Schizosaccharomyces pombe: one gene and its partner. The protein of the gene in region 2 interacts with the protein of the main gene of each other region in a pairwise test. Each region holds a gene or a part of one and is shown on either strand. Other genes may lie near its edges.

Region 1 (4,802 bases), 1.7 Mb from region 2:
TGAATCATCACTAGTATTTAAAGGATGGTCACTGTTTTCGCCTGATTCCTCGTGTAGAGTTAGTTTCCTCCAAGGATCAATAAGAAGCTCTTGAACGAAAGATGTATAAGTTTTTCGATGTTTTTCTAGAACTGATTGCCAGTTTGATCTATCGGTAGGAAGGAACTCAAGCATCAACATCCAAGCTTTTGCCCTAAGTGAATATTCATCAGGAATTCCTTGAATACAAAGCGAGCATAAACCAGGGAGAGAAATTGGCTCTTCCGAATTTAAAATGTCTTTAAATTTTTCAATGCGTTGCTTATAGTCCATAATAAACTAGAAGCGATTCAAATAAGATATTATGTAGTTTGACTATATCCAATTTAGTTATATTATCATATATAAAATATTACTGTTGAAAATTAAATATATGAAGAAAAGGAGAGCGCAATTGGTGTGTTCAGTAGCCTGTTTCACACGTGGATGATGGAACTAAGTTAGCTACTAAAATTGAATGCAAGTTTAAGAACCGACTAAATTTTCTGACTTATTTTTTATACTAATTTCCTTCTTAACAATACTTCCCTAATCAAATACTGTAGGAAAGTACAGAGTAATGAACGTCCTTAGTAGATGTACAGTATAGGTAAGATTGATGTAGGTGCAACATACAGACCAGGAAAGAAATATTTGGTTTAAACAGCACCTAGAACGAGCAATTAATAATAATTGGATATTTATTAAATAAATGCACCGTTTTCTAATGTATGTATGTGAGAAATTAGCCTTGAGATTGGCTCCAGTTTTGATTCTATCTATAATACAAATAAAAGAAGAAAGAGTGGATATGCAATTTATATTAGGTTGTATATCGAACTGTTATGATGTATAAATATACGAAAATTGGTAGATAATGTATAACCATAAAAGAAGGCTTAATTAATGGAAATCAAAAGAATTCGGGTTGTATTCATGAAACTGGGGTCATCAATATGAAACTAAATTAATCATGAGAATACAGAAGTGGTTTGGATAAAGGAAACGGCATCAATACATTAGCAATACTCTATCAAAAAAAAAAAAAAAATTATGGAGATTGTTTTTATCAAAAATGAAAGCGCAGATCATGATTTTTGCTCCAAATTCAGTTGATCCATTGCAATTACCAAGTCCTCGCTCATTTGTATCAACTGTTGTCGTTCCTCCCTTTCGACCCGGAGCTCTTCTTGAAGCGCTTGCAGTTGTAAACGAAGTGTTTCCAAATCACCTGTCTGTTGTGATTGTTGTTGCATTAGTAACTTATCACTCTTCGCCATATCAGCTTTAAAATTGTTCAAAAAATCTGACATATCTTGGCGCTCTTGAATGGCTTTCTCCAGCTGTTTTTGGAGAGTCTGATTGTCTGCTTTCAATGCTCGCCTTTCTTCCTCCCAGTTACTGTTGGATATTTTTGGAGCATTAGGAGCAGTACCGATTTGATTTTGAAGCTCCTGTATAGTTGCCTCGTATTTTCGAGCATAATTGGCTTTGAAAGCATTAATTTTCTGAGTGTGCTTGGCTGAGTACTGAGCATGTAAATCTTCAGCAACTTTTTCCATGCGTTCTTGAATTAACTTGTCAACTTCCTCTTGAGTATATTTACCTCTCTGAAGAGCTAATGTCTCTTCATTATGCCCTTCAACAAGTCTCATGTTGGTATCCTTTGTGGAGGGACTAGTCGATGCTTTTCCAGATCTAAGTTGCTGAAGTTGGTCATTAACGGCAATCAATTGTCCCGAAACATTGACGATTGTATTTTGGAGTACGGAAATTTCATGATAAGTGCCAGCAAGTTTGGCTTTGTAGCCCTCTATTTCAGCTTCGTATTTCGCTTGCTGCTTTTGAGTGGAATTAATTGGGTATTGAGTAGGTATATCGGCCTGTGAAGTTGATGGTGTAGCAGAGTTGCGAATGTTGTCTTTCAAATGCACTGGTGGGTTCAACGGCGCCGTATTAGTTTGACGTGGGAAGCTTCCGTTTGAAAGCACTGGGGGCCTAGAACTAGCTGATGTTTGCAAAGATGATGAATGACTGTATGCAAAATTAGATGGAGCGGTATTTAAAGAGCCTCGTTGGGAGGCCGCATTGGACGATGAAAATAAAGAAGGATTCTTCGGCGTCAAAATAGATTCTACATTTCTTTTTCTATGCTTAAATTCTGGCGTTTTATGCTGTGACAAAGGATGGGATATGGGATGCATCGGTCTAGGGGTTCCTGAAAAATCAAAAGATTTATTCAACTCTAAGGCTTGTAGTCGATCGCTTACTCGCTTATTAAGAGTATCCTTTAAATTCAGCTGTGGATTGGGTTTAGAAGTTAACTTAGGGAATAATTTAGGGGCAGGCATGGATTCCTCTGAACTTCGTTGAGCTGGAGGAATCAATGATTCTGAAGAGGCACCTTGCCTTTTTTCATGAAAACCCGTATGATCAGTTTCATTTGTCCCAATACTAGATGAGGAGGGAGACCTCCTACTGTAATCTGTAGAGCTCGAAACGATATCACTCATTTTCGGTTATGACTTTTTAAAATCGTCAAACGATATAAAGAACTAACAGATATATGAAATATAAATACACAAGAAAATCCTTTTTCAAATATTTTACAGCTGGTATTATCGTTTCAAAGTTAACGATCAGTAGCTAACTTTTATTTTTACTTTTTGAAAACTGGTCAGATGTCCGCCTACGTAGAACAATGGTTCAATAACAAACTTGAGTCATACAATGCCCAATAAATAACCCCTTATTGCCCTCAATTCTTCGTCTTGATTCAACACTAGGCGTACAATGGTGGTGTAAATAAAAGGCACATACATACTGGTTTACACTGAGTAAGGAGAGAGTGGGAAGAGTTCACCGAGCTCTCGGTGAATTTTCGGTAGCTTGTTCTCCGAAGCCTTTGTAATAACACCAAAGTATCCTACTGTAAACACTAAACAATTTGCAAGTCAACCTTTGATATTATGTGTGCCAAATTTTAGTATGAAGAAAAATGAAAAGGCAAACGTATGTATATGAAAAGAGGGAAATCGTGATTATCTAATGAATGGCAGATATCGGCCTCATACAATGACCTAATTGCAACAATTTGCAATCCTCGTATCTCTGATGTCGGTACATATCGCATTGAGAGTGTTGTCGGTGAAGGTACGATACTTTTGTGTTATTGTGAACGCTCAATACTGGACGGCTATCTAACAAGCATGGGTTGTAGGCAGCTTTGGAAAAGTTTATTTGGCAGCTCATTTACTGACAAATACAAAGGTATGGGTTATTCAAAGATTACTATGTCTCTAAGTTATAAAAAGAAGAATAAACGGCTCGTAAATTGCGAATATTGACCGTTCCAAAGTCGGTTGATTACATTATGAGAATGATAAACGTTTTATTCATCAATAAATTGATTGTACCTTGCTAACATTTTTATTAAAGGTTGTCCTGAAATCATCTTGCAGGAAACAAGCGATTATCCTTGCTCGAGAAATTCATCATCATCGGCGTCTTCTTCATCCAAACATCACGAGGCTTTATGAAGTAGTATGCACCGAAGACCGAATTTATCTTGCCATGGAGTATTGTCCAAATGGTGAATTGTATGACTGGGTAGCGAGAGAAAAAAGGCTGGATGAAAAGACCACTTGCCGTATCATGTGGCAGCTATGCTGTGCTATTCAGTATTTACATAGACAAGGCTGTGTTCACCGTGACCTTAAACTCGAAAATATTTTTCTAGATAAAGCCTACAATGTTAAGCTTGGAGACTTTGGGTTTTCTAGAGATTCTGATTGTTCCCGTAGAACATTTATGAACACACGTTGTGGTACAGTTGCTTATTGTGCTCCGGAGCTAGTACAGGGCCATAAATATATTGGTGAATGCGTTGATATATGGTCTCTGGGTATAATTATGTACGCTCTCTTAATAGGAAGGCTCCCGTTCGACGAGGACGATGTATCTTTAACTGAGCAAAAAATTATCAATGAATGTCCTCAATATCCTGAAACACTCTCCAAAAACTCTTCAAGCTTGTTGAAATCCCTCCTTTGCAAGGATTACCGACTTCGACCCTCTATCGATCAAATCATCTCTCACCCCTATTTCAAGGAAAATGGATATCATTCATCTTCTATTCGAGACCCAAGGCCTTCCTCGAAAGCAGAGGAAAAAGTTCGTAAAAGGCTTGAATTTGTTGGTGTTGACATGGATCAACTTAATGCCAGCATCTCACAACAGCGCTGTGACATGTTCTATGGATGGTGGCTTTTATTACTAGAAAAAGAAATGCGTAAGGAAAACAAAAAAAAGAAAGGTTTGTTTCATTTACATAAAGGTTCATCTTCGGCTGTACACATAGCTCCAGCAACTCCATCATTAAAAACCGCTCAAGTTTCTGTTATGTCCAACAATCAGGATTCTTTAAAAAGTCGGCATACATCGTCAGATTCAAGTAATTCTTTGCTTTCTACATTTCGTAGTTGGTTATTCGATCCTAAACAAAAGCATACTGCTGATACGTTAAGCTCATCAGCAATTAGACCAAGAACACCTAGTCCTTCGGCTGAAAACTATTTAACTCAAGAAAATTTTGATTCCGATAATTTATCTGAGTCTTTAGACAATTCAGTTGAGAACCTTACCGTGTTTCCTTCGATTAACAGTTTTGGAAGAAGACACTCAAATCTTCCTCAAACAACGCACGTTGATACAGGTGAGCAAAACACACCATTCACTCCTCCTCTTTTAAAAACGGTAAACCTCGACGGTAATAAAGACTTTAC
Region 2 (6,489 bases):
TCTAAAGAATACTTTTTCAAAAAGAAATAGTATTTTAAACAATCAAGTTTGTTTTGAAGCTATTAAATACATCCAAAGGCATTATTTCAGCAGTCAATCGCACCATGTAACCTATCTTCACCAGTCGCCGCTTGAGAAATTGGTGAGTAATGGCGTGGTAAACGAGAACGGAGATTTGACCATGGATTCTCTTTCTCATCAAATATACCTATTACACAAAAATCGCCCCACCTTACCATTAAAACCAACTAACCAGCCTACGAGATTTGCATCTGTTTTGATGCCTCTAGTAAACACTTCTCAAGGAGCTTCTTTACTACTCACGCAACGTTCTCCAAACTTGCGTTCTCATGCTGGACAAATGTGCTTTCCTGGTGGCCGTGTGGAACCTTCAGACGGTTCTCATTATTATGCGGCATTAAGAGAAACTTACGAGGAAATTGGATTCCTCCCTAATTTTTTTACTTACTTGACTACTTTCCCTCCATTATTCACCAGAGATGAAAAGACTGAGATTCGGGCTTACCTTGCGTTTTCGGTGCAAACCTCCCTTCCTTCACTTGGGACAGGTGAAGTGAAAGATTTATTTTACGTTCCTCTCACCTCTTTTTTAAATCCCAAGCACCAAAAGATATCTCGATTTCGTAATACGGATTTGCTTTATGTCGAATTTAACATTGATAAGATTCCAAGAATTTGGGGAATAACAGCGGTTATATTAAATATGTATCTTAATTCTATTTGCCCGGATGCTCTTATCTCAATCCCAAAGTTTTGATTTTACGCTTTAATACCATTACTACATAGACTTAATTAATATTTATTTTTTCTTCTGTTATTAATAGTAATGCTTGATAATAAAGTCAATAAATTAAAATAATTATAGTAGTAGAATTAATTGAATGTTGTTAAAAAAAAAGAGAGTAAAAAACGTAAGTATCCCAGATTAGTAGTTTGCGGTCTTTGCCTTTGCGGCAGCTCTTTGCAATGATTGTTTCAATTGAGCTTGTTTTAGCCACTCATTCTTCATTCGCTTCATTCTTTCAATTGAACAAACAACGATAATTAGACTCTTCAGCTTTATGTGTTTCTTAGATAAATCAGGATCAGGTGAAATTCCAATTTTCTGCAGCATACGTAAATTTATTTTATTGCATGTTTCGTATCCTGTTAGTTGCATTAAAATAAATTTTTTTGAAAAGGCAAGGTCCAAACGAAGAGAGTGCTCTCTTCGACATTTCGATTGAAGATATTTAGTCAACTTAGAGAGTCCCTTTATTTCAGATTCGTATTGCCCTGACTGTGTGGATTGCGGAGTATTTGATTGTAAATTCTTATAGCGTGCACGTAATTGATTATAGTCATCTAACAATGATTTATATTCTTTTCTATTACGTTCCAAAATAGTAGACAGATGATCGATATTGTTAGTCTTAGACTGAAGAGCCTCCCTGAGTGTCTTAAGCATTAATTGGCTTTCGTCGGTAACATTGGAAGTCATCAATTCAGCTTGCTTCATAAAATGATTGTTATAAACCTCTAATTCCTTCTGGATTTCCTTTAGCCTTTCTTCCAGTTCATTTTTATCTTGTACTAAGTTGTTCTGATAATTAAACTGGTTTGATCGATAACTTTCAAGCTCATCGATAAGTATCGAACGTTCTCTTTCTAACCATTTAATCTTTTCCTGCAACTTGGTTGTTTGCTTATTATAGCTGGAAATATCATCCATGAGTAAATTTCGATTTTTTAGTTCATCTTGAAGCGCAAGCTTTAGATCTTCAATCGTTTTCTCAAGGTACTCGATTTTAGAAGTATGTTCAGAAGGATATAAATAGCCATTCTTCCGATCAGGAGAGCTAAAAAACTTTTGGGCAGCGTTTTCCAAGTCATTCATCTTCTCACTAACGTTTCGATTTCGTTGTGCAAGAATATCATGCTTTGTCTCAGTTCCCAATCCAAATTTTTCAAAGCTTCTACTAAGTTCCTGTTCCTTTTTACCAGAAAACTGTACAAAATCATGCCGTAACTCTTGCTTCAACGACCGAATCGTTTGGATTTGTTGATTGACAAAATGTTCAATTTGACTGACTATCTGCAAAATACTCACCGAAGAATAATCACATCCCATCAAAAGGCATAGTCTCTTTTTGACAGCATTTTCTTCTATATTCGCCTCCTCAATTCCCCTATTTAAGTGATGCACAAGTTTATCTAGCTCCATTTTGTCAGATTCTAAATGACGAATTTGAGCAAGCTTGTCGGCCAACTCGCTATTGAGCACATTTATTTCTTTATTTTTCTCAATATCATCATTTGATCCAGATCGTATTTTTCTTTCTTCGAAGAGTTTTTTACTTAATTCGGATAGTTCTTCCTCCCTCCGGTCTAAGAGGTTTTGGGCATTTATTAATTCATTTTTTAGCGAAGAGTATTTTAACTCCAAAGCCTGTTTTTCGTTGCTCATTAATTCAAAACTAGCAGATAGCTTTTGTCCAGCCACTATGGCTTCTTCTCGTTCTTCTTCGCTAACATCTAATTCGTCTTTTACGTCGGTAAGCTGCCGCTGAAGTACTGAAATTTTATCGTTCAGAATTTCCATTAAATTTGTATTATCAAGGTCTTTCGCATTTCCAGATAAATATTTCTTAATGGATTCTCTTTCTTTTTCGAGCATTGCAACTGTCTCTCGTAATGAACTAATGACCAAGTTCTTCTTTTCCAAATTTGAAGTCAACTCTTTCTCTCGATCTTGTAATTTATTAATGGATTCATGAAACCGCCGCAAATCGTTGTCTTTATACTGAAAAGCATTCATCACTTCATTATAAGTTTCTTCTTTATCCTTAAGCTTATTTCTATATTCATCAATAGTACCGTTTAATTCAGAAACGTTGACTTCGTATGACTTGATACGTTGTTCTAACTCATTTATTAAACGGTCTTTCTCTTTGGTAATAGAGTCAATCTTCAAAGTTAAGCCTTCATTTTCCTCCCTAAGATCGTGTATCTCGTTTAAGTCATTAGAATTCTTCATTCTAAGGGTTTCCAGTTCTTTAGTGACTTCTTGCAATCGGATATTCGTTTCTGCAAGTGCTTTATCTGAATTTTTAGAGGCAAGAAGACGTAAATGATTCTTCTCTTCATCTATTTCACGATTTTGCGTACGTAAAGACTCAATTTGGTTACCCAACGAGGAGGTCATCAACCGTAAACTGTTATTGTCATCTTCCAAAGTTTGGAGTTTGGATTCTAGCACGTCTCGTTCTTCTTCCAAGCTTCTAAATTGAAGCATAATATCTTCAAAGTTTTTACCTTCTTCGTTCATTCGACTAATTTGATCATGTAAAAATTCGATTTCTTCGTTCGCTTTGTGTAATTGTTCTTGAAGGGTATGTACTTGCATGGAATCTGTCAAACCAATTGAGGCCTCGGATTCATGCATTATCTGATTTTCTTTCTCTTTTTCGAGATCGGCAGTAAGCACTTGTATTCTATCCGCAAATTCATCACATTTGGCTTGCAAAATCGCATAGTCTTCTTGAAGATGTACGTAGCTTGAATTCTCCTCATTTTCAAAAGCTGAAGAGCTATTCTCCTTTTCCTCAATCTGTCTTTTCAGGGTGGCAATTTCGTCTTCTTTCTCAGTAAGCAAATCTTGAGCAACATCTAGCTCTTCCGATAATTCATCAAGCCGATTTTGTAACTGTCGTATTTCATATTCATAATCAACTTCCTTGTTACTTTTATCCTCTTCCATCTCTGTAGATAAACTGTCTTTTTCCCTTTGAACTTTTTCCAAGGCATTCTCCAAAAAACGAATGCGCTCCGTAAAAACTTTTACATTCTGGGATTGCTCGACATCATTAACCTTAGATAAATAATCGACCTTCTCTTCTAATTTGAAATTCTTGTCTTCAGACTTTTGAAGTAAAGATTCAGTTCTCTTAAGCTGAAGCTGTAAGTTTGCTCGTTCGGCATGCAACTCAACATTGTCTTTGACAGCTTCTTTTATCTGTTCGGGAGCCATAGACTCAAGTCGCTTTTCCAAACATACAATTTTGATTCGAAGTCCAAAGTTTTCTCTGCTAACTTTCTCAAGGACCTTTTCTTGCTCACGAAGAGTAAGGGCGGCATTTGCAGGCAATTCTCCATCTGTGTGATCTATTTCGGAATTTTTCGAGAGATCGGTAAGCTTGGAAACGTCGTAAGAGTCATTTCCCTGACTGATGCTCAAAGCTTCTTGAGTAGCTTGTTTAGATATAGCAGATAACCCGTAGGAATTAGGGTCAAAAGAGCCTTTATCGCCCAAACTCCCGTTGTATTTATCTGAGTTTTTATTTGAAGACTGTAATAATGGAGTAAATTCCAAACTACCTTTTGGTTGATAAGAGCCGTTGCGCAAAGGCGTCTGGAAAGATGATTTATCATTAAGGTACGAACCACGGAAATCAGAATAATCATCGTTATTATTTTTGAGTGATTTCCCCAAAAAATCAGATTGGCTGATCACAGAATTCGCGTTTTCATCTTTAAATTTGGGAGATTGCGTATTAAAATCTCGTTCAGACATAACGTAACTGCGGATGCATGTATTTATTAAAATTATCCACCAACTAGCGCAAGTGCATAAAATTATATAGAAACTACTTATTCTGGCAGAATCATTAAAAAGCAAAAATGTTGTTGATTGTAGTTTGTTTACAGTCGTCAAATGATCAAATAAACTACGAAACAGCTCCCTAATATAAGTAACAACATATCGTATACTTTCGTTATATCTTGTAAGGATGCTAAAAGTCAAAAGGCGAGATTGTAGATATGAAGGATTATCGAATGTAAAACTGCCTTGATATGTTTATTGTACTCAATACAGAATAGAAGAGATAGGAATTTTATTCGGAAGAAGTATTTGGTGCTCATTTATTTATGTATAAATTGATAAAATCATCGATAGGGTCCAAAACGTAAACATGAATCTAAAAACAACTCAGATAAGTTTCAGCAACAAGACGAGCTCTTCCGTTCAAGAAAAGTTTCATCTCACTAATTTCAGCGTCAACTTCCTCCATAAACTCAATAATGAAATCAACTAATTTGTGCTTAAGCATTTCCTCAGTATGGTAATTAGTTATAAGAAAGGAAATATCATAGCCCTATAACAAAGAAAGGTTAGTTTGATGATATTTACAAATAGCAATGGCAACTTCGAAAAAGAAAAAAAAGAAGAACTATACAATGGCTGAGGCAGAACAGTGAACACTTAAACTAACGCAAAATCTCTAGAAATTCTTCCCTTGAACACTTTTTTGCCAATTACAATTTGTAATAACGTACCTGAACAGGTTTGCGGCGCAAAATAAAGAAAGATTCTGCACGACCCATTAAAAACTGCATAAATTTGCGCACAAGAATTCGTTCAATTTCATCGACTTGTTTAATACGAATGCTGAAACGAACACTAATTTCATAAATGCATCAGTAAAAAAAATCCAAATAATGAGAATGACTTTCAAAACTCCGTTATTCCAAATCGAAAGATCAGTGAATGTACCAGTTCGAATCGGAAACATCGGATGCCTAAGACATACCTATTAACAGAGCTCTCAATCAAACACTGTTCTTGCTCATTACGAGAGACCACCAGGGGCTTTAGTAGAATTTCAGGAGACCGTCCAACCTCAACTTCCGGCTGACTCTGGCGTTCTACAATTTCTGATGAGAATTCCTCTAATGCTAAAGAAGCAGTCAGAGTAGAACGAACTGCGTTTAAATAAGGTCTTAAGGTATTAGACTATGCCTTCGTTAATAAATCATATCTTTTTATAACAAAAGAATTCCTCTCTTACCATAATTAGAATCTATGGAGTCAGTCTCCGGGTTTGGTTTTGTGCTAACACGTAGTGTCAGTGTGATATTGCTTAACGAGTTTAGCGGCACAACCACGCACGCTGCGTGGTGTTACCGAAAATGAGTATATAGCTCGTTACTGTATGGCCTTCACCAAGTACCAGCAACATATATAATAAGTATAATTTGCAAAGAATTACAAAAAAAATTATATTGGGCTTAAACAAGTATTTCTTTCATTAATTACAAAAACCATTTATGATGATTCCCATAGCAATTCGTTGGCAAGGGAAGAAGTACGACTTAGAGATTGAACCTAATGAAACAGGAAGCACCTTGAAACATCAACTATACTCGTTGACACAAGTTCCTCCGGAACGACAGAAAGTGATTGTCAAAGGTGGCCAGCTTAAAGACGATGTTTTGCTTGGTTCAGTTGGTATTAAACCAAATGCAACTTTATTAATGATGGGTACTGCAGGCGAACTACCAACAGCTATGCCCATTCCAGCTGTCGAGTCAGTAGAACAAGAGGAATCTGAAGATGATGGCTATCCGTCAGGGCTTATAAACTTAGGCAACACGTGTTACATGAATTCTACAGTTCAAATGCTGCGTGCCATTCCAGAATTATCAGAC

Evidence for each region.
Region 1: the proteins of pcp1 (region 2) and alp7 interact in binary tests that used the Schizosaccharomyces pombe proteins (3 or more experiments, as listed by UniProt).

The regions. Positions count from the first base shown.
Region 1 is NC_003424.3:5,001,665-5,006,466, forward strand, and holds alp7 (kinetochore-associated protein Alp7), read right to left. Parts: upstream 2,822-4,802; 5' UTR 2,532-2,821; coding exon 1,107-2,531; 3' UTR 736-1,106; downstream 1-735. Other genes in the region: tbc13 (GTPase-activating protein), read right to left, coding at 1-312; serine/threonine protein kinase Ppk16, read left to right, coding at 3,007-3,030, 3,078-3,171, 3,239-3,288, 3,457-4,802. UniProt on the Schizosaccharomyces pombe protein: Required for bipolar spindle formation and proper chromosome segregation. Has an indirect role in connecting the kinetochores and the plus end of pole to chromosome microtubules by targeting alp14 to the spindle pole body.
Region 2 is NC_003424.3:3,253,593-3,260,081, forward strand, and holds pcp1 (gamma tubulin complex linker, pericentrin/kendrin Pcp1), read right to left. Parts: upstream 4,689-6,489; 5' UTR 4,574-4,688; coding exon 947-4,573; 3' UTR 809-946; downstream 1-808. Other genes in the region: pcd1 (coenzyme A diphosphatase), read left to right, coding at 1-778; ARP2/3 actin-organizing complex subunit Arc4, read right to left, coding at 4,980-5,156, 5,338-5,461, 5,592-5,794, 5,850-5,852; ubiquitin hydrolase Ubp6, read left to right, coding at 6,109-6,489. UniProt on the Schizosaccharomyces pombe protein: Spindle pole body component that binds calmodulin. Overexpression of pcp1 causes the formation of supernumerary SPB-like structures and disrupts both mitotic spindle assembly and chromosome segregation.